4 linked regions of the Macaca mulatta genome follow. Each later gene encodes a partner of the first gene's protein in a complex. Links are inferred from orthologs where the notes say so. Each region holds a gene or a part of one and is shown in the gene's direction. Other genes may lie near its edges.

Region 1 (5,896 bases):
GACCATCCTGGCTAACACGGCGAAACCCCGTCTCTACTAAAAACACAAAAAATTAGCCGGGCAAGGTGGCGGCGCCTGTGGTCCCAGCTACTCGGGAGGCTGAGGCAGGAGAATGGCGGGAACCCGGGAGGTGGAGCTTGCAGTGAGCTGAGATCCGGCCACTGCACTCCAGCCTGGGCGACAGAGCGAGACTCCGTCTCAAAAAAAAAAAAAAAAAAAAGAAAGGGAAGGGAGGGTTAGGTGGTCTCTTCGATGAGATGATTCCTTCCTTCCTTCCTCCCTTCCTCCCTTCCTTCTTTTTTTTTGAAACAGAGTTTCACTCTTGTGGCCCAGGCTGGAGTGCAATGGCACGATCCTGGCTCACTGTAACCTCTACCTCCCGGTTCAAGCGATTCTCCTGCGTCAGCATCCCAAGTAGCTGGGATTACAGGCGTCTGCCACCACACCCAGCTGATTTTTGTATTTTTAATAGAGACAGGGTTTTGCCATGTTGGCCAGGTTGGTCACGAACTCTTTTTTTTCTTTTGGGGCAGAGTACTGTGTCGCCCAGGCTGGAGTGCAATGGCGCCATCTCGGCTCACTGCAACCTTCGCCTCCCAGGTTCAAGTAGCTGGGATTACAGGTGTGCGTCACCATGCCCAGCTCATTTTTGTATTTTTAGTAGAGACAGGGTTTCAGCATGTTGGCCAGGCTGGTCTGGAACTCCTGACCTCAAGTGATCCTCCCGCCTCAGCCTCTAAAAGTGCTGGGATTACAGGCGTGAGCCACCACGCCTGGCCTGATGTGATTTTTTTTTTTTTTTCCTGAGATAGACTCTTGCTCTGTCACCCTGGCTGGAGTGCAGTGGCACGATCTCAACTCACTGCAACGTCTGTCTCCCAGATTCAAGTGATTCTTCTGCCTCAGCCTCCTGAGTAGCTGGGACTACAGGTGCCTACCACCATACCCGGCTAATTTTTGTATTTTAGTAGATATAGGGTTTCACCATGTTGGCCAAGCTGGTCTCGAACTCTGGACCTCAGGTGATCCACCCACCTCTGCCTCCCAAAGTGATGGGATTACAGGCATGCACCACTGCGCCCGGCCCAATGTGGTGATTTCTAAGTAGGGATCTGAGGGAGTAAGGAGCCAGCCAGTGGCTGTCTGAGGGAGACTGTCCCTGGCAGAGCGAACCGCTAATGCCAGTACCAGGTTCTGGGCCAAACAGAAAGAATCTTGGGCTCTCACTACATATATATATTTTATATATATAATATATATACTTTATATATATTATATATACTTTATATGTTATACTTTATATGTTATATATGCTTTATATATGTATAACATATATTTATATATTATATATACTTTATATATGTATAACATATACTTTATATATAATATATATTTTATATATGTATTGTATATGTAATATGTATGTTGGGGTTTTTTTTTGAGATGGGGTCTTGCTCTGTTGCTCAGACTGGAGTGTGGGCTTACGCAATCCTCCTGCCTCAGCCTCCGCAGTAGCTGAGACTACAGGTGCATGACCACCACACTTGGCTAATTTTAAAATTTTTTTGTAGAGACGGGGTGTCACTGTATTGCCCAGAGTGGTCTCCAACTCCTGGCCTCAAGCAATCCTCCCACCTCAGCCTTCGAAAGTGCTGGGATCACAGGTGTGAGCCATGGTGCTTTGCCTTCATATTTTGAATAGGCCGAAACAGAACTCCAGAATCCCCTTACCCCTATCCCCACCACCCCACATAGCAGGTTTCTCTCGCTCTGTAGCAACCCACTTACCTCTCTGAAATCATCCCAGGCGTGTTCGGAGTGCACGCAGCCCCGTTAGCCTCCCGGTCTTCTCCTGTAACCAGCCCAGCTCTGCCTGAGAGCTTCCACTATTCCCTCCATCTGGAATACCCACCACTCTCTCCCACCCCGGGCTTGGATCTGGCAGTACTGTACCAGCCTCAGGGCCTCTGCTGTCGGGCTTTCTGCTCTCAGAGCCTTTGTCACTGGGCTGGGAGCTCCAATATGATAAATGCATAGCCCGGGGCTAGGACCATCAAGGGAACCCAGTAAGTTGGCTCCCGAAAGAGAACTAGAAGCTTCGTTTGCATTGCACGTTATTTAATATTGAGGAAAATATAATTAGCCCGTATATAAGCATTGGGGTGAGAGCGCTAAAGATTGACCCCACCCACCTCCCACTCCTCACTTCCAGCCGTAAGCCACTTCCGGACAAGGCTAAAAATGAGTAAAACAATGCAACTACTCGCCACCTATCCTTCCCCAAGTTCCACCCTCCGAGCCTCAAGCCCCACGCCCTCCTAAATATCCCCGCCCCCGCTGGGACCCCAAATTGCCTAGAGCTCTGCAATTCCGCCCTTCCCGGCAGCGGGACCGAAAGGGTTAAGCGGAGGCTCCCGGCTCGCTGAGTGACAGCTTGGCCGGCAGCCGGGGAGAGCCGGCCAATCAGGGAGGGCGTACGCGACCCACGTGCGCAAACGGCCTCACGATTGGCCAGCGCCGCCAGATGCCTGCCCACCCCGAGCCCGAACCCACGTGCAGCTACTGCGCCTTCATTGATCCGCTTCGCGGTCCAGGTGGCGGCTGGGTGGGGCCTGGGCGGGACGGGGCAGGGACAGGGCGGGACAAGGCGGGGCCCGATGGGTCAAATGGCCCCCGGTGGGGGAAGGAGGAGTTTCCTCTTGGCCTGAACTTGGCTGACCTCGGCAGCTTCCGCCCTGTGAGGGACGTGAGTTGCCAGGCGTTTTCCTGGGGGTTGGGGGGACTCCAAGATTCCCGGGCCGGGGAAGGGGCTGCAGGGGTGTGGAAGGGCAGGACTGAGGCAAGGAAGGAGCTTGGTGCTGCAGCTGGGATGCAGGTGGAGGGAGGTCGTTTCTTCTGTCCGATGAATTCCGCCTAATGCACCTGGCTAACTCCTATTCATCCTTCAAAACCCCTTTCTAGTGATATCCCTGCACTTTAGGAAATTGTCTGAAAACTAAGGTTGAGCTTTGGTGACCTTCCCTGGGCTCCCCCAGCAGGGAGTGTATGTGCACCATCCACCCCAACCTCCTAGGGTGAGGCCTGGGAGGCAGGGTTCAGTTCTTTCTGGGTCCCCGGCCCCACGAATCTGGGCAGCTGGAGGCATTGATAAGTGAGGACGGGACCTAGGGAACGCATGGGGGAACCGCAGGACTGGGGCCCTGGAGACTTACCAAACCGGGAGGTGCAGGTGGGGTAAGGGGTGGCTCCCTCCCTGACACTGCCTTATTTTCTGTCCTTCAAGACCTGCTGTCTCCTTGTTTTAGACTTTGGCTAAAGTCCTGGAGGCTACTGCCTGAAGATGACCTCTAGGGACCAGCCTAGCCCCAAGGGCCCCCCGAAAGGCACTTCGGTGAGGAGGGCATGGGGTGGGATCAGCCCTCAAGGGAAACCTAGGTCAGCCCAATGAGGTTCTGCCCCTTTCTCATCCTGTATCCACCTATGACCTGGGCTGGCCTCATCCAGGCCTCACAGCTGAAGACAATACCGGTCACTGCTACATTCAAGACAGGTGCCAAGGAGCCGTTTTTTTTTTTTTTTTTTAAATTAAGTGTAGGCTGGACACAGTGGCTCACAACTGTGATCTCAACATTTTGGGAGGCCGAGGTAGGAGGATCATTTGAGCCCAGGAGTTTGAGACCAGCCTGGACAACGTAATGAGACCCCCATCTCTACAAAAAAAAATTAAAAGAATCAGCTGGGCCTAGTGACATGGGCCTGCCTGTAGTTGTAGCTACCCAGGAGCCTGAGGCAGAGGCTTTGCTTGAGCCCAAGGAGTTTGAGGCATTGCACTTCAGCCTTGGTGACAAAGTGAGATCCCATCCTTAAAAAAAATGTAGCTTCTAATCACATACGTGATAAAAAACACAGGAACACAGCACGTATTTGGTTAATATTTTACAAGCAATCCGGGCTCCCTGTACTTTATGTCCCAGAGATGACCATTTGTAAATTTAGGCTCTCAGGGCTGAGCAAACTCTCTTTTTTGTAAAGGGGTCAGATGAGGAATATTTTGTTTTGAGACTTTATGACTTTATTGTTTTTGAGACGGAGTCTCACACTGTCACCTCGGCTGGAGTGCAGTGGCGCAATCTCGGCTCACCGCAACCTCCGCCTCCCGGGTTCAAGTGATTTTCCTGCCTCACCTCCCGAGTCGCTGGGACTACAGGCACCTGCCACCATGACCACCAATTTTTTTTTTTGTATTTTTAGTAGAGATGGGGTTTCACCATGTTGGCCAGTCTGGTCTTGAGCTCCTGACCTCGTGATCTGCCCGCCTCAGCCTCCCAAAGTGCTGGGATTACAGGCGTGAGCCACTGCACCTGGCCAAGAGACTTTATTTTATTGAGTCTTGCTCTTGTCGCCCAGGCTGGAGTGCAGTGGCACGATCTTGGCTCACTGCAACCTCCACCTCCCAGGTTCAAATGATTCTCCTGCCTCAACCTCCCGAGTAGCTGGGATTACAGGTGTGTGCCACCATGCCCGGCTAATTTTTGTATTTTTAGTAGAGACAGGGTTTTGCTGAGTTGCCTCGACTTGTCTCAAACTCCTGACCTCAGGTGATCTGCTCACCTCGGCCTCCCAAAGTGCTGGGATTACAGGCGTGAACCACCTTGCCTGGCCTTTTATTTTTAAAAATATTTTGTGCTTCTATTTTCATCACAAGAATGTGGTGAATATTTTAGACTTTAGGCCAAAGTGCAAAATGGAAGATGCTCTTTTAGGTACTGAAATAAGAGGACGGGCGCAGTGGTTCATGCCTGTAATTCTAGCACTTTGGGAGGCCGAGGCGGGTGGATCACGAGGTCAGGAGGTTGAGATCAGCCTGGCCAAGATGGTGAAACCCCAGCTCTACTAAAAATATAAAAATTAGCCAGGCATGGTGGGAGGCGTCTGTAATCCCAGCTACTAGGAAGGCTGAGGCAGGCAATCACTTGAACCTGGGAGGCAGATGTTGCAGTGAGCTGAGATTGTGCCCCTGCACTCTAGCCTAGGTGACAGCAAGACTTGTTTCAAAAACAAAAACCACAATTACTTTTGCATCAACCTAATACCTATACTCTGGTTGAGATGGAGACCTGGGGTCTTGAGTGTTTGGGGCATTGTAAGTTTTTTTTTTTGTTTTTTTGTTTTGAGATAGTCTCGCTCTGTCACCCAGGCTGGAGTGCAGTGGCGCAATCTGGGCTCACTGCAAGCTCCGCCTCCCGGTTTCACGCCATTCTCCTGCCTCAGCCTCCCGAGAAGCTGGGACTACAGGCACCCGCCACCTCGCCCGGCTAGTTTTTTGTATTTTTTTTTTTTTAGTAGAGACAGGGTTTCACCGTGTTAGCCAGGATGGTCTCAATCTCCTGACCTCGTGATCCGCCCGTCTCAGCCTCCCAAAGTGCTGGGATTACAGGCGTGAGCCACCCGTGCCCGGCCAGGGCATTGTAAGTTTTATGTAACCTTGCTTTGACCTTTCCAGCCCCGTCCTGGGATCTCGAACTCTGAGAGCTCTCCACCACTGAATTATCAAGGCATTCTAAATCGGCTCAAGCAATTCCCCAGGTGAGAGCAATTCCAGGGGCTGGCAGTCCCACGCTGGGAAGGGGTCCCACCTGGCCTCTCTCCTTGGGGTCCTAGTGAGTGGTCTAGAAACTGCTGGCCCAAGAGACAGGCTCAGGAACAGGAAGCCATGTCGATACCCAGCATGGAGAACCCAGCAATACCCATCCCAGCTTTTGTTTCATATGTTGATTTTCCTGTGCGACATGGATTTGTTGGCATTCAATTTTATTGTTGAAAAATACTGCAATGGCTGGGTGTGGTGGCTCGCACCTGCAATCCCAGTACTTTGGGAGGCAGAGGCGGGCGGATC
Region 2 (4,983 bases), on another chromosome or scaffold:
ATGGCTCACTGCATCCTCAAACCCCTTGGCTCAAGCGATCTGCTGGCCTCTGCCTCATAAAGTGCTGGGATTACAGGCGTGAGCCACAATATCTGACCTTGATTAGGTTAAGGTGTTTTTCTGTTTTTGTTTTTTGTGTTTTTTTTGAGATGGACTCTCACTCTGTCGTCCAGGCTGGAGTGTAGTGGTGCCATCTTGGCTCACTGCAACCTCTGCCTCTGGGGTTCAAGCAATTCTCCTGCCTCAGCCTCTCGAGTAGCTGGGATTGCAGGTAACCACCACACACCCGGCTTTTTTTTTTTTTCTGAGATGGAGTTTTGCTGTTGTTGCCCAGGCTGGAGTGCAATGGTGTGATCTCGGCTCACCACAACCTCCGCCTCCTGGGTTCAAGCGATTCTCCTGCCCCAGCCTCCCGAGTAGCTAGGATTATAGGCATGCGCCACTATGCCCGGTTAATTTTTTGTATTTTTAGTAGAGACTAGGTTTCTCCATGTTGGTCAGGCTGGTCTCGAACTCCTGACCTCAGGTGATCCACCCGCCTCAGTCTCCCAAAGTGCTGGGATTACAGGCGTGAGCCACTGTGTCTGGCCCACACCCATCTAATTTTTGTATTTTTAGTAGAGATGGGTTTTCTCCATGTTGGTCAGGCTGGTCTCAAACTCCTGACCTCAAGTGATCCTCCTGCCTTGGCCTCCCAAAGTGCTGGGATTATAGGCGTGAGTCACCTTGCCTGGCCAGGTTAAGGTTTTAAATGTTCATTGCATCACAGCCATAGCTAAATCTAGTTTTCCTGTAAGTATGCCCTACACATCTGATAGTCAGGTTTTCTCAGCAACCATTGAGGGTGAGAGGGGGTGGGCTCAGGGGCAGAAAACTGGAGCCTCCACACAGTCCTAGATGATCATGTGGAATCTGGAACATGCTTTCCACTATTTTGAGTTTTTTCTTCTAGGCTGGCTGTGGTGGCTCACACCTGTAATCCCAGCACTTTGGGAGGCCAAAGTGAGAGAGGACTGCTTGAGCCTAGGAGTTCAAAACCAGCCTGGCAACATAGTGGGACCCTGTCTCTACAAACAGACAGACAACAACAACAGAAGAGCTGGAAAATAGCTGGGTGTGGTGGCAGGCACCTGTGGTCTCAGCTACTCAGGAGGCTGAGACAGGAGGGTCACTTAGGCCTGGGAGGTCGAGGCTTCAGTGAACCGAGATCGTGCCACTGCATTCCAGCCCAGGCAACAGACTGAGACCTATCTCAGAAAAATAGAAAATAGTTTTAAAACAAACACATAGTTAATCGTAAGAACAAAATAGTATTTTCAGCAGATACTATCTATTCTGAAACAACTACAAAACAATATTTCTAGAAATATAGTAGAAAATGTGTAAAGGCATGCATGGGGATGATATATACACACTAGCTTCAAGATAATTTCCTCTGGAGAGGGAAAGGAAAGATGCTTGAGTAATATCTATTTTAAAAACAGAGAAGTGAGGCAAATGTGGGGAAATGTCAATATCTGTTAAACTGGGGGAAGGTACAGGGCTGTGCTATATTACTTTTTTGGATGTGTGAAACCTTTTTTTTTTTTTTTTTTTTTTTTTTGAGACGGAGTCTTGCTCTGTTGCCCAGGCTGGAGTGCAGTGGCGCGATCTCCGCTCACTGCTAGCTCCGCCGCCTCCCGGGTTTATGCCATTCTCCTGCCTCAGCCTCCCTAGAAGCTGGGACTACAGACGCCCACCACCACGCCCGGCTAATTTTTTTGTATTTTTAGTAGAGACAGGGTTTCACCGTGTTCGCCAGGATGGTCTCGATCTCCTGACCTCGTGATCCGCCCGCCTCGGCCTCCCAAAGTGCTGGGATTACAGGCGTGAGCCACCATGCCCGGCGAAACCTTTCATTATTCAAATTTTTAATTAAAATTACGAACACTGGGAAAAAATTCATTGATACTGGTTGTCTTAGGATACTGGAAATAAAGGAAAATTGTCTAACTTGCTACATGTTCTATAAGACCACCTCCGACGTTTTGTTTAAAACATGATACACTTGCTTGAATGATTTAAAAATGGTAACCATCCGGAGAGTCAGAAGATAACAGCATGGGGCAGAAGAGAGAAAACCGACACATTCAACAAGCCTGCCCTGGGTCCAATCTACCTATCTCTGGGAGGTAACGATGAAACCTTAACCTATCCAGCAAAGGCGATTCCCAGTCAGCAGAGTCGTCAATTCAAACTCACAGTGTTAATCAGCTATAAGGTGGGCAGAAGTCTTTCAGGCTAAGTATATCTTACGAGGCAAAGATGACGAAGGAGAGCGTTGGAGACCCAACAGGAGGCCAGATGAATACTAGTTCAAAGTCAAAGAGGCAATCCCGGCGACTGAGGCAGCACAGGAAGTGCCCGATGTGCCGCTAGGCCAGGGCGTCGATTGCACCAGCTCACCCCGACGCGGTGCTAGGCGCCGCCGGAAGGGGCGGAGCGGGTGGAATATGGTAAAAGAGAGTCCGAGCTTCGCGCCTGGGTCTGGAGGAGGTCCTGCGAAAGCCACCTCGAGCGCGCTCCGCGGCTGCTGGTCCCAGTATGGTCGATGACGCTGGTGCTGCTGAGTCCCAGCGGGGCAAACAGACCCCGGCCGACTCCCTGGAGCAGCTGCGTATGTTACCACTTCCGCCGCCGCAGATTCGCATCCGGCCTTGGTGGTTTCCGGTGCAGGAACTGGGAGACCCTTTGGTGTTCTACCTGGAGGCATGGCTGGCAGACGAGCTCTTTGGTGAGCGACCCCAGGTGTGCTAGTGGGCTGTCCACCTCCAGTCTGAGAGAAACTCGGCAGGGCAGCTCTCTACGGCTTCTTTCCCAGATTCGCAAGCCAAAAGTGTTGCAGTGATTGCCCACCTTCCAGCTCTTCCCTTCCCTGGCCAACGTTCCCTTAAAATTCAGCTTGTAACTTGCCACCGTGCGGCCCCTCAGAGTCTTTCCTTACTTGTTTAGGCCCGGACCGAGCCATGATTCCAGAAATGGAATGGACGAGCCAGGCCCTGATGACAGTGGACATAGTGGACTCTGGGAACCTAGTCGAAATCACCGTTTTTGGACGGCCCAGTGTACAGAATCGGGTGAAGAGCATGCTCCTGTGCCTGGCATCGTTTCACCGAGAACATCGTGCCCGAGGTGAGGGTCTTTGAGAACCTGCATGTGGAGGAAGCCACGAGTGACTGTACTGGCCTTGCTCGGTTTCCTTCCATCCTCCCTTAACCTTCTCAGAATTTCTTGGTTTCCAGACTCCAGGGGCTGCACGAAGTTTGTTGGGAGGGGATCCCGGGGTAGGACCTTGGGAAAGTCAGCGGAGATCTGATACATTCAGGCCCATCACTGCCCAAGTCAGCCTCAGCTGGGTTACGACGCTATCGCAGATCCCAGATTCGGAGCCTCCACCGCAGGTCTTTCTCTCCTCCCCAACTCCCAATCACGGAGTAGTTCGAAACAGCGAACCGTTTTCCCTGTCCATGGTTAGCATCAACTGCTTCTCTTCCAGCTGAGAAGATGAAACACCTTGAGAAGAACTTGAAGGCCCATGCATCAGACCCCCACTCTCCCCAGGATCCTGTTGCTTAAGACAACATAGTTACTGTCGGGAACATCTTAAGAACTTTCCAACTTTTTCTGCTAAAGTTGAAGAGAAGCAAGTATAGCATTCCTAAATCCCTGCATTCCTTTTTCCTGTGTCTTGATGGAATGTGGTTTATTTTGTTGCAAGAGTGAGCTTGAACTATTCTAATAAAGAAATGGCTATTTTGCCAATGGCATTAAGATCTTCACACACTTATAATAAAGCAAATTTATAAAAGATTGACTCTTATGTTTTGATATGAAGGGTGGGCAGAAGGCTGGCAGGTTGTAGTTTTGTAGGTTTTTGTTTTTGTTTTTTTGTTTTTGTTTTGTTTTTTTGTTTTGTTTTTTTCTTCCTGAATTCCCATCATTTTGAAACTCCTAATCCTTCTATGATTTTATGGTCAGAATGAGGCCCTCACCCACAGGGGGCAGATATGCAGGGGCAGATAACCTCACAAATGGTGATCTGTTTTGTTTTTACATAATTGGCTCTCAAACTTTAAAGCTTGTAAAAAATCACCTTGGGAGCTTGTTAAAACACAATTTCCTAGGCTCATTCTCCAGAGAATTCTGATTCAGTACTGTTGGGGTGGGGCTTGTAATTTGCATTTCTGATGAGCTCACAGGTACTACCAAAGCAGCTTATCTGAGGCTCTCACTTTGCAGCTGGTAATTGACCCTCCAAAGAGCACCAGCTGTGCGTTTTCCTGGAGTCGGGTGTCCGTCTGGCACAGGATGACATTCCAACAAGCAGGCCTGGGCGGTCAGCATTCATTAATGGTAGCTTTGCGATTCACCAGGGAAGAAAAGGGATCCCTGGCACCTTGGCTTGTGGATGGCGCCCTGCCTTGGAGCCGGCTGTCTCCCTTTTTCTGCAAGGCGAGGCTGCACAGGTGTCCAGCATGGGCAAGATTGTTTTTCCATTACGTGTTGTACTGAGATTACCAATCTCTGCAAAACAGCTTCTATCCTTGCTGCCCCACTTTCTGGAAGTAGAATTTTTGGGGTGAAAGGTGTCAAAAGCCCTGTGGCTTCAAGCACAATTAGGATTGGTTTGAGACTCATGGAATTTATGCATTCCTTGGCAATAAAGTGTTCTAGCCTTTTGCAAGCGTTTTAAACTCAAGTCTCTTTAATTGTACATTTTTTATTAGAGGTGATGTTGAATGTTTTCTTTGTTTCAGTTTTACATTTTTCTGTATTAATTCCTTTCTTGACTTCTTTCAACTGGTGAAGATAAGGATTTTTATTTATCTCTATAAGCTTTTGTAACAATGGTCTGTTATTACCAGCATTTTCCACCCTCTTACATTTTTTCTTTGCATGTGAAAGATTTTTATTTTATGTAGTTAAATCAATTACTGTTTCCTA
Region 3 (6,067 bases), on another chromosome or scaffold:
CCCGGCCATAGCAATAGTGATCTTCTTGCTGGTCTTGCCATTCCTGGACCCAAAGCACTCCATGGCCTCCACAATACTCATGCTTGCTTTCGCCTTGCCGAAGACCACCATGCTTGCCATCTAACCACTCAGTCTTGGCAGTGCAGATGAAAAACTGGGAAGCGTTTGTGTTGGGTCCAGCATCTGCCATGGGCAAGATGCCAAGATCTGTATGCTTCAGGATGAGGTTTTCGTCATCGAATTTCTCCCCATAGATGGACTTGCCACCAGTGCCATTATGGTGTGTGAAGTCACCACCCTGACACATAATCCCTGGAATAATTCTGTGTAAGTAGGAACCCTTGCTGGGCGCGGTGGCTCACGCCTGTAATCCCAGCACTTTGGGAGGCTGAGGCGGAGGGATCATGAGGTCAGGAGTTCGACACCAGCCTGACTAATATGGTGAAACACCATCTCTACTAAAAATACAAAAATCAGCTGGGCGTGGTGGCGCATGCCTGTAATCCCAGGTACTCAAGAGGCTGAGGCAGGAGAATCGCTTGAACCCGGGAGGCAGAGGTTGCAGTGAGCCGAGATTGCTCCACTACACTCCAGCCTGGGCTACAGAGCGAGACTTCATCTCAAAAAAAAAAAAAAAAAAAAAAAAGAAAGAGAGTACTAGCAACCCTTATAATCAAATCCTTTCTCTCCAGTGCTCAGAAAATGAAAGTTTTCTGCTGTCTTTAGAACCTTGTCTGCTAACAGCTCTGATATGTTAACATGGCTTTATGGTTTGCAGAGGTCACTTCTTGGCTTCTTGGTTTCCAGGCCCCTAACCTTGAAGGAGACGCAGCCCGAGGGCTTGACCATAATGTCAAAGAACACGATGAGATTGACCATGGCCAGCAGTAGAGTACTCCTGGCGGCAGCAGCGTCTGCAAAGCTCACTTTTTTTTTTTTTAATATGGATTTTCGCTGTTGTTGCCCAGGCTGGAGTGCAATGGCACCATCTCAGCTCACTGCAACCCCCGTCTCCCAGGTTCAAGCGATTCTCCTGCCTCAGCCTCCCCAGTAGCTGGGATTACAGGCGCTCAGCTAATTTTTGTATTTTTAGTAGAGATGGGGTTTCGCCACATTAGCCAGGCTGGTCTTGAACTCCCGACCTCAGATGATCCACCCGCTTCGGCCTCCCAAAGTGTTGGGATTACAGGTGTGAGTCACCAAGACCAGCCAAAGCTCATTTCCTTTTTTTTTTTTTTTTTTTGAGATGGAGTCTCGCTCTGTCACCCATGCTGGAGTGCAGTGGCACGATCTCAGCTCACTGCAACCTCAAAGCTCACGTCTTATTGACTTCTAGCATACTGTACATATCTTGCCTATTTTCTTGGGAAGGGATTTTTTTCTGTTTTGTTCACTACTGTACCTTGTGGCTTAGAATAGGGCTTGGAACACAGTAGCTTCTCACAGATAATTGTTGAATACATAAAGTAAATAAAATGTGTAGTCAAAACTATGGGGCCTGCAGGCATGGTGGCTCACATCTGTAATCCCAGCACTTTGGGAGGCCGAGGCGTGAGGATCGCTCGAGCCCAGGAGTTCGAGACTAGCATGGGCAACAAAGCTAGACCCTCGTCTCTACAAAAAACAAAACAAAGCAAAAAAACCTAGTCTATCTTTAAGCTACGTGGAATAATATGAACGAGAATATATCAGCGTGACCTCAGTAGGTACGTATGCCTAGGAGGGGAGAGAAGGGCTGGACAACTAAGCCCCAGACACAGCCCGTTAAGGCGTGGAGTAGGCTCCTGGTAGCTGAACTGAATCTTTAGCACTCCACCCTGGAGAGGAAGAAGGGGTTCTCCAGGGTCAGCCAGCAGGCAGCTGCATCCTTTCTGGAAACCAACCAGTGTGGCCAGCCGGTATTTGTCGTTCGTCCTTGTTTTCACCTAGTCAGGCCCAAGAGCCTCAAGGTGGGGTGGGGGGTTAGTGGAAGCTCGTAGGGGGAGGAGGTGACAGTCCCCCGAGTCTGGCCCCTTAATTCAGCCATCCCGCGGGCAGGCACCACACTGAGAGTCTGGATCTACAAAGGACGCGCCTCCTATCCTTCCCCCACCACGACCTGCTACGTGATCTCGGAAACAGGGTCTAGGACTGAGGCCCCTGCCCCCTCCTCTCGTAATTTCCCGGAGAATATGGGGCGGGGCGGTGAATCAGCACTCGCAGGGACTGATGCAGCCCTGATCCCCGCCAGGGGTCCCCAGCGGCCTCGGGATTCGAACCACCCCCCCAGTCCTCCTGCGCCTGCGCGCTACCTCCGCTGGGAGTTGTAGTCTTGACCGCCCCTTTGTCCTCGGTCTTCTCAACGCCTCGGCCCACGGCAGGTTACACTACAACTCCCAAGGGCCCATGCGTCGGAGGCCTGGCGGGGCGGGGGGCTGAAGGGAGAGGGATAAGGGGGCGTCTGGAGAAGCTGGGGTGAGGGAACTGAGGAGTGAAGTGAATAAAGAGGAGAGTGGGGGCGCAGTGGGAAAGGACGTGGTGCCCGGAAGACGCGCAGTGAGCCGAGTTGGGGAGCGGGGAGCTCTAGCCGCGGCCGGGCCCGGGCGGGGCCTGGGCGGGGCTTGCGGACGAGCGGGCGGGGCCTGCCTGCGTCATGCGGCGTGGGCGGGGCCGCAGGGGGTTGTCCGTCCGTGGCACGCACAGCAGCCGCAGCCGCCTCGCTCCCGGTCCCGCGGTCGCAGCTCCAGCCGCCTCCTCCGCGCAGCCGCCGCCTCAGCCGCTCGCTCCGTGGGTCGGTCCTCTCCGGCACTTGGGCTCCAATCGCGCCCTCCAAGCCCTTCACGCCACCCCAGTGTCCTCCTCCTTCTCCGGCCAGACCCAGCTCCGCGAAGATGGTGGACCGCGAGCAACTGGTGCAGAAAGCCCGGCTGGCCGAGCAGGCGGAGCGCTACGACGACATGGCCGCGGCCATGAAGAACGTGAGTGTCTCCTCCCCTCCCCCGCCGCTCCCTGCCCCTCCGAAGACGCGGTCCTTGGCGTGGAAGGCCCGGGGCTTCGTCGCCCTGTCGCGATGGTGGGGTGACCGCCCCGTCTCGCTCACTGAGGGGGGCCGGGGAGGGTCCCCAGAGCCGACGGGAACACGGGCTGTGACGCGGCCTCTCCTCGGCGTCCCCGGGGCCCCGCGGCGCGGCCTCTCTGGCCCGGCGCGGGCGCGGGGCGGGGCGGGGTCCTGCGGGGCTGGACTTGGGAGCGGGGTCTCCGGTCCCAGCGGCTCTAGGGGTACAGGGGATCCGAGCGGGGAGGCGTGCGCATCCTTTGTGCCCCACTTCCCCCCTCCTCCCAGCCCGGGCGTGGGGGCGGGGGACCGCATGGATGCGGTTCCTCTTTCTCTCCCTGGTGTCTGGGCGGCGCCTTTCCCATTCACTCAGCAGGTCTCCCGGTTTTCCACCTCCCCAGCCCCCCCAAAATCTTCCCCACTGTCTGTCCCGACAGATCCCTGTGAATCTTCCCAGAAACATTGTATAGGGTCTCTTGAAAACCTGAGCTCCGTGGCGCAAAATCGAAACCACCTTGCTCACGTTTTTCTTAACAAAAGGCTCTTCTTTCTCCATTCCCCCAAAGCAAGTCCTCCGGCTTTTAGGAAGGGGGAACGTTTGTCTCGCTAGCGTTTTCGTTGATCGTTTTCAACATGTCATCTCCATTTTATTCCCTAATGTTTTTGTATTGAAAAGGGTAGGTATTGCCTGTAAAATAAAAGGTGGTGAATGTAGCTGACTGGTTCGATCCGTGTGACATATGCCGTTTCTTTTTTGAATACAGGCACGCGTCTGTGAAATTCCTATAAGTTGGGGGAAAAAATATTCTGTCTGATCTGATAGTGCAAACAAAGCGGTGGTGAGAGGCAGTATCAAGTCATTCCAGAAGATTCTGCATTTGTCATATTGCAGAGAGCCTAGACTGGGTGGAGGCTGGGAGGAGTTATTTTAAAGGGGAAAAAGTCTTTTTAAAAATTTTTGGTCGTTAGATGCATCTGAGGCTTTTTTTTTTTTTTTTTTTTTTTTTTAAAGCGAGTACGTCTTCATGCTGATGAAAAGAGAATACTGATCTCCAGTTGTCGCATTTTGTCTGGGTTGCAGATTCCTCCCTGTATTGCACCATTTTGTCAGTAACACTACATTTATCTAATGGGCTGTCAACCAGTTTGATATTAGAGGAGGGGGAAGTATTGAACATTATGAAATGAAAGGTAGAAAATTAATGATTTCGGGCCCCCACTATCTTAATATTTAATTTCCTGCCTTATGTAACAAAGGTTTTTCAAATGCATCTCCATTGTAAAGTGGATGCTGGAGTGTACCTTGCATGTTACATCTTTTAAATGAAGCATTATTGATATTACAGATCAATTCTTGAATAACTTTACTGGTTCTCAAAAGAGGACAATGCTGATACCTTTACATTTAAACCAGGTATTTTAACAAAGAAATGTTTTTGTCTTATTAAAGAAGAGAACCGGTTCTGAAATTCGGAATACTGCTATGGCCACAGCTGCTGTCTTACAAGGTTTTAATGCTCAAATGATGTAAGTTGCACTTCTAATGGGTATCAGTATTGGAAATATCTTCAGTTCGTGTTATTTAATTTAGACTCTTCTAATTTTTCCGTATTTCTAGTTCCACAGGAAAGCGAGTGACCTCGCACCTATATCTATAGCAACCAAGTGATGTCACACACAATGACACAGAGGCTGCAATGCACCTAAGGGCTGGTAGGGAGTGTGCAAATGGCATTTATCCAAGGTAATGCAGAAATTAGCCGATAAGCCAGGTGGAATCGAGCACTTCATATTCCACCAGATAAGAATTAGTCCAAAAAATAAGGATTTCATTTACCCTTAAACATGCAGATCCCTGACCTCTAGCTAGGCCTTGTTCACCCTATTGCTAGCTTTCTCACAAAAGTTTATAAGATGCTTTTTTTATATTTTTAAACATTCATCTCACTTATTTAAAATACTGGGCAATAATGGAATAAAAGTAGAAATTTTAAACGATAATATATTTTATGGAATGAAAGTAGAAATTTTAAACAAGAATATAGTTTACGATAATAGTGCAGAGATGAGATGTGTACTTGTGTTTATTTCAGATAATGAATTTGGCAGGTTTTAATAAAAACCTTAAAAAAATGATGACTTTCTACTGAGTCATTTTCAGTTACTGTTAGGGAATGAGAACCAGTTCCAAAACCTTTTAAATCGAGGTTTGGGAAGTTTGTTTTTTACTAGATTTGTGCTTCTGCTCCTTCACAGTATAGAGGAAAGAACAGTTTGTAAAATAAAAACCTTTTTTCAACTCTGTTTCCTGTGACTTTAAGGAAATAGGCCCTGTCCCTCATTTTCCTCATCTATAAAATGGGACAGTACTTGAAAAAGTTGTGCGGATTCAATAAGAAATGTAGTAGGTGTTCCCAAATGGCAACTACCTAAGAAATTGTCTTCCTGTTTATAAAAGTCATCATGGAGAATTTGGAAACTGCAGAGAAAGAACCCAGTCTTACCACTCAAGTGAGCTCTCTTTTAAGGCCGAAATCATCCTGTTGATGGATTAAAATTTATTTGAGTTTAATGAAATTATCCTAGTGCTAACACTATTGGAATCTGTGCAGAATGATAGTTCTGTGTGGGCAACCAGGACAGAAATACTGTATTATCCAGTATTTTGAAAAGAAGGAAAGAGGAATGTTAGGTCTTTTAAGACACTTGTTTAGTCTTGTATTGAAGGAGATTGAATACCTAGATGTATCCTATGTATTAGACAATATTGTCTTGTCCTTTGACTTTTAATAGTCTCTTGAGAAGTTAATATTTTAAGTAGGCTACTGGTACTTGCCTCGGGGGGAGAAAAGGTTCAGGGCTACTAATTTTGTTGAAGTTACTGGGTTAAGCAGTTTAATTCAGTGAGGGGTGGTGGGGGCAAAGGTGGCAAAAGGCTATCATAATTTTTCTAAATCTTCCTAGTGGGATCAGTAGACTTTCAAATTCTTACTATCTTAAATATTCCATTCCCTAGCCACCCCCCCCGCCCAG
Region 4 (4,697 bases), on another chromosome or scaffold:
TTGTTTTTGTTTTTGTTTTGGGGGGGTTTGTTTGTTTTTTGAGAGGGAGTCTCGCCCTGTCGCCCAGGATGGAGTGCAATGGTACGATCTTGGCTCACCGCAACCTCCGCCTCCCGGGTTCAAGCGATCCTCCTGCCTCAGCCTCGCGAGTAGCTGGAATTACAGGCCCCTGCCATCATGCCTGGCTAATTTTTGTATTTTTAGTAGAGATGGGGTTTCACCATGTTGGCCAGGCTAGTCTTGAACTCCTGGCCTCAGGTGATGTGCCCGCCTTGGCCTCCCAAATTGCTGGGATTACATGCGTAAGCCACTACACCCGGCTTGTTTTTTGACTTTTTAATAAAAGCCATTGTGACTGGTGTATGATGGTATATCGGTGTGATTTTAATTTGCATTCCTCTTCTGATTAGTGATACTGAGCATTTTTCATGTGTTTGTTGGCTGCCTGTATTTCTTCTTTGGAGAAACATCTCTTCATGTTCCTTGTCCAGTTTTGTTTGTTTGTTTCTTTGTTTTGTGGAGACAGAGTCTCACTCTATCCCGCAGACTGGAATACAGGCTCATTGCAACCTCTGCCTCCCACGTTCAAGCGATTCTCATGCCTCAGCTTTAGGAGTAGCTGGGATTACTGGCGCCAGTCAGCACGCCTGGCTAATTTTTGTATTTTTAGTAGAGACAGGATTTCGCCATGTTGGCCAGGCTGCTCTAGAACAGCTGGCGTGAGCCACCGCATCCGGCTTTGCCCAGTTTTTAATGGGGTTGTTTTTTCTTGTTGTTTTGCAAAGTACTTTAATTGTCTCAATTAGCAAGTAAGAATTTCCCAACTACTAAATCATTCCTATATATTAAATATATTCGACCGCCTGGGCGCGGCCTGAATATATACATTTGGTCTATTAATGTGGCAAACCTGAAGTTCTCTTTAGTGTTTCAATACTGAATAAAAATAAATTATAAATTATTATTTATCTTATAGCAACACAGTTAAAAGTTATTATTTTCACACTTTTTTTTTTGTTTTGTTTTAGTAGAGGTGGAGTTTCACCGTGTTAGCCAGGATGGTCTCGATCTCCTGACCTCATGATCCACCCGCCTCAGCCTCCCAAGGTGCTAGGATTACAGGCGTGAGCCGCCGCACCTGGCTCAGTTATTATTATTTTTTGAGACAGGGTCTCACTCTGTCACCCCGCGGGGAGTGCAGAGGCACCATCACTGCTTACTGTAGCCTCAGCCTCTCTGGGATCAGGTGATTGTCCCACCTCAGCCTTCCCAGTAGCTGGGACTACAGGGGTGTGCAACTTCGCCCAGCTAATTTTTGTATTTTTTTTGTAGCGATAGGGTTTTATCATTTTGCCCAGGCCAGAAGGATTGCTTGAGACCAGCTTGGGCAACATAATGAACCCTTGTCAGAAAGGGAAGGGGAAAAGAAAGGAAAGGAAAAGGGAAAGGAGAAAGGAAAGGAAGGATGAGACAAATATAATTGTGTTATTTAGAGAACAGAGGCATCACTGGGCATGGTGTCAGAGGCTTGTAGTCCCTGCTACTGGGGCAGCTGAAGAGGGAGGATCTCTTGAGCCCAGGAGTTGGAGGCTGCAGTGAGCTATAATCACACTACTGCCCTCTAGCCTGGGTGACAGAGATCCTGTCTCCAATTTAAAAAATTAAAAATAAAAAAGAACAGAGATGTCAAAAATTTTCAAGGAATCTCCTCTGGTGTCCAAACCACGAGAACCATCTGTGGTTAGGTGTGTTCATTGCTGCATTAATTAAAAGCGCTTTATAGTCCCACCACTGGGGAGGCTAAAGAGGGAGGATTTTTTTCAGCCCTGGAGTTCGAAGCCAACCTGGGCAACATAGCCAGACCCCATAACTTTTTTTCTATCCCCCCCTTTTTTTTTACTACGCAAATCTCACTACACAGACCCTATAGCAAAACAAAACAAAACAAAAAGGCGGGCGCTTATTCTGCTCTGTACTCAGCTGTCTCAGGCAAGTGACAGAATAATCTGAAAACCTGGTGCCAGAGGGAGAAAACGTAGTGGCCAGGGATCAGAAGCGAGTGAGGGACGTATGAAGTATTCATTCTGCAAGTATCAGTTCCTTCCTCTGGGAGAGATACTGGGCTTGTCCACGCCTTCCTGAGTCCATGGTTAAGACTCCCGCTGGGCACCAGCGGATTCCTGGTGCCCAGAGCCCGGTTCCTCCTCCCGGGTGCGCTGGGGAAAGGGCTGCTCCTGACAGAAGAGACACTGAGAGCAACGCAGGAACCGGTGCACTTGCGCTGCCTCGGAAAAAGCCGGGGCTCCTGGAGGCGGAGGCGAGGCCTGGGACCCAATGAGAAGGGCGCGGTTGGAGAGGAGGGGCTGGCCAAAAGCACTTTAAATAAGGCCCAGGCGAAACCGCAGTTCTAGTCGCCTAGCTCCAGCTTGGCCTTTGGGTTTGCTGTGGTGGTCTTGTCTCCTGCAGGACCGGGCGCAGCATGGACACTCCCAGGCGGTTTCCGACGCTCGTGCAACTGATGCAGCCAAAAGCAATGCCAGTCGAGGTGCTTGGTCACCTTCCTAAGCGGTTCTCCTGGTTCCACTCTGAGTTCCTGAAGAATCCGAAGGTAGTTCGCCTTGAGGTTTGGCTGGTGGAAAAGATCTTCGGTGAGTGGAGCAAGGAGGGGCAGCCCCTATGCGGCTTCTTTCTGCCGCCCACACCCACATCCCACTGCGTTCCAGGGCAAGCCTCCCCAGTAGCCAATGCCCTCTGGCTGTCTCCTCCTTCCACTTTCCCCTCCCAAGACCCCCGGGAGCCACCCAACCCTCACAGCCTCTCTACTACCCGCGCAGGCAGGGACCGAGAACGCATCCCGCACGTCCAGGGTATGTCCCAAATCTTGATTCATGTGAATCGGTTGGACCCTAACGGCGAGGCTGAGATCTTGGTATTTGGGAGGCCTTCTTACCAGGAGGACACAATCAAGATGATCATGAACTTGGCTGACTATCACCGACAGCTCCAGGCGAAAGGTACGGGGCTGGGAATGGGGCTACCTGGAGCAAACCCTGGCTCCGTAGGAGTGATCCTGGGGTTTCCTGGCTGCTGGGGCTGCAGTCTCGCCCTCCCAGTCTGCCCCCGGTTAGTGGGTGGGAGACGGGGCGGTTGCCATGGATCCAGAAGGCCAAAGTGAACCCGCGTTCTGGGATTCCTGGTTCCTACTCCCGCAGGCCGCTTGGGTGACTGTCCTTTTTTGGAGAGGATATAGGGACACAGCTGTGGCCTCCGCACACTGCTCTTCTTTCAGGCTCAGGAAAGGCCCTCGCCCAGGATGTCGCCACTAAGAAGGCCGAGATCCAGCTGTCTTCAACAGAAGTCCGGGAGGCCGGGACCCAGCGTTCGGTGGAGGTCCGGGAGGTCGGGACACAGGGTTCTCCGGTGGAGGTGCGGGAGACCGGGACCCAGCAGTCTCTCGAGGCTGCCAACCAGTCCGGGACCCAGCGATCCCCCGAAGCTGCCAGCAAGGCAGTGACCCAGCGGTTTCGCGAGGATACCCGGGCCCCAGTTACCAGATTATGAAGGCATCTCGGGCCCTGGAGCCAGAGCCAGTCAGGGGTTAAAGTGAAAGCCCGTACTTCGCCCAGAAGCTGCGGTTGGGAGGAGGATGATGTGGATTTTTTGTTTTACCCCTTCTGTTGAATGGTTGCAAACACAAACGAGTTCTAATAAAAAATTGCAAACTAGAAGCCGCCCCCTACTTCAGCCCCTGAAGCTGGGGTAAGGGTGGATGATGTGGATTGGTTTTTTTTACCCCTTCTGTTGAATGGCTGCAAACACAAACTTGAGTTCTAATAAATAATTGCAAAGTGGAAGCCCCCCGCTACTTTAGTCCAGGAAGCCGGGGTGGCGGGGGAGGTTGACGTGGATTGTTTTTGTTTTACACCTTCTGTTGAGTGGTTGTCAACACAAACTTGAGTTCTGATAAACAATTGCATTTCCCTGACGTCTGTATTTTGGAAGGTAGAGGGGAGGGAAAGGCGTATTCCTCCAACAGCCCAGTTCTGCCCTGCGCCGCTCTTTACCTCGAGACAGGTGGGGCTTCTGGCTCCCAGCCGCCCGGGGTCGCAATCTTCCCTGGCTGTGGTCCGCTGTGCCCCTTGTACTCCTTAACTGCGCGCATCTGGCTTTAACAGGTGAGAAGCTTCTCTGGCCCACTAGGAAACCTCTCCAAGCCCGCTGTGGTTCTACTCAAGGTGACTTGGGATGAGAAAACCGGGTCGCTTGCGGGCCAGCTGGATTTGGAAGGCCCTGCGTGTATGGCGACGCTGCCACAGAACACTTTCCCCGCTGGGGAAAATTACCTCGGGGAAGGGGGAAACGAAGAGAGCCGAGCTGCACTCTCCGGCTGCACTGTTGCCGTCTTCAGGTCTTGCTTGGGTCACCCACCTTCCAGGAAGGTCTTGGACACCAGCAAGATACAGGCACCGGCTACTCTTTCCTCAGTTACTGCGGCAGCGAGGAGCCTGAGCAGAGAACACTTTGGCTTCCCGGGTCACAGCTCTGGTCAGGGCACTGGGATGCAGGTCCCTGAGCCTGCGAATTAATCTAGAAGAATGCAAGCCAACAGCTGGGTGCTAGGATTAAACAATAGCATGCAGTAATTCTGTAATTAGGATTTAATTAGGATTTTTTTTTTTAACCAAGAATCACTGATA

Evidence for each region.
Region 2: the proteins of TLE6 (region 1) and OOEP are in contact, whole or in part, in a cryo-EM structure (PDB 8H94), measured with the Mus musculus proteins. The link is inferred for Macaca mulatta from reciprocal best matches to the Homo sapiens genes TLE6 and OOEP. Residues at the interface, in NP_444484.1 of Mus musculus: Trp256, Ser258, Phe304, Thr305, Arg306, His307, Val318, Asn320, Val322, Asn323, Glu332, Ser333, Asn354, Ser355, Arg356, Leu373, Ala374, Ala375, Pro376, Ser377, Leu378; in NP_080756.1 of Mus musculus: Arg32, Pro33, Trp34, Trp35, Pro37, Gln39, Glu40, Glu67, Trp70, Met71, Gln73, Gln94, Pro95.
Region 3: the proteins of TLE6 (region 1) and YWHAG are in contact, whole or in part, in a cryo-EM structure (PDB 8XI3), measured with the Mus musculus proteins. The link is inferred for Macaca mulatta from reciprocal best matches to the Homo sapiens genes TLE6 and YWHAG. Residues at the interface, in NP_444484.1 of Mus musculus: Phe137, Leu138, Ser139, Glu140, Ser141, Asp142, Leu144, Gln145, Leu295, Arg347, Asn430, Leu447, Gln470, Met472, Asn489, Asp510, Asn511, Thr512, Met530, Pro553, Arg555; in NP_061359.2 of Mus musculus: Lys50, Arg57, Arg61, Lys125, Asp129, Arg132, Tyr133, Gly174, Leu177, Asn178, Val181, Glu185, Phe201, Asp202, Ile205, Ala206, Leu208, Asp209, Glu213, Tyr216, Lys217, Thr220, Leu221, Ile222, Met223, Gln224, Leu225, Arg227, Asp228, Asn229.
Region 4: TLE6 (region 1) and KHDC3L share a complex: the UniProt entries of both Homo sapiens proteins name them as parts of the subcortical maternal complex. The link is inferred for Macaca mulatta from reciprocal best matches to the Homo sapiens genes TLE6 and KHDC3L.

Annotation. Positions count from the first base shown.
Region 1 is NC_133424.1:3,768,127-3,774,022, forward strand, and holds the start of TLE6 (transducin-like enhancer protein 6), read left to right. Parts: upstream 1-2,209; 5' UTR 2,210-2,594; exon of another isoform or gene 2,595-2,746; intron 2,747-3,283; exon of another isoform or gene 3,284-3,305; 5' UTR 3,306-3,340; coding exon 3,341-3,391; intron 3,392-5,503; coding exon 5,504-5,586; intron 5,587-5,896. UniProt on the Homo sapiens protein: Component of the subcortical maternal complex (SCMC), a multiprotein complex that plays a key role in early embryonic development.
Region 2 is NC_133409.1:112,308,931-112,313,913, forward strand, and holds OOEP (oocyte-expressed protein homolog), read left to right. Parts: upstream 1-2,452; 5' UTR 2,453-2,583; coding exon 2,584-2,773; intron 2,774-2,991; coding exon 2,992-3,171; intron 3,172-3,535; coding exon 3,536-3,615; 3' UTR 3,616-3,847; downstream 3,848-4,983. UniProt on the Homo sapiens protein: Component of the subcortical maternal complex (SCMC), a multiprotein complex that plays a key role in early embryonic development.
Region 3 is NC_133408.1:49,993,411-49,999,477, forward strand, and holds the start of YWHAG (14-3-3 protein gamma), read left to right. Parts: upstream 1-2,631; 5' UTR 2,632-2,870; coding exon 2,871-2,957; exon of another isoform or gene 2,958-5,855; intron 5,856-6,067. UniProt on the Homo sapiens protein: Adapter protein implicated in the regulation of a large spectrum of both general and specialized signaling pathways. Binds to a large number of partners, usually by recognition of a phosphoserine or phosphothreonine motif.
Region 4 is NC_133409.1:112,315,762-112,320,458, reverse strand, and holds KHDC3L (KH domain-containing protein 3), read left to right. Parts: upstream 1-2,479; coding exon 2,480-2,648; intron 2,649-2,834; coding exon 2,835-3,014; intron 3,015-3,289; coding exon 3,290-3,561; downstream 3,562-4,697. UniProt on the Homo sapiens protein: Component of the subcortical maternal complex (SCMC), a multiprotein complex that plays a key role in early embryonic development.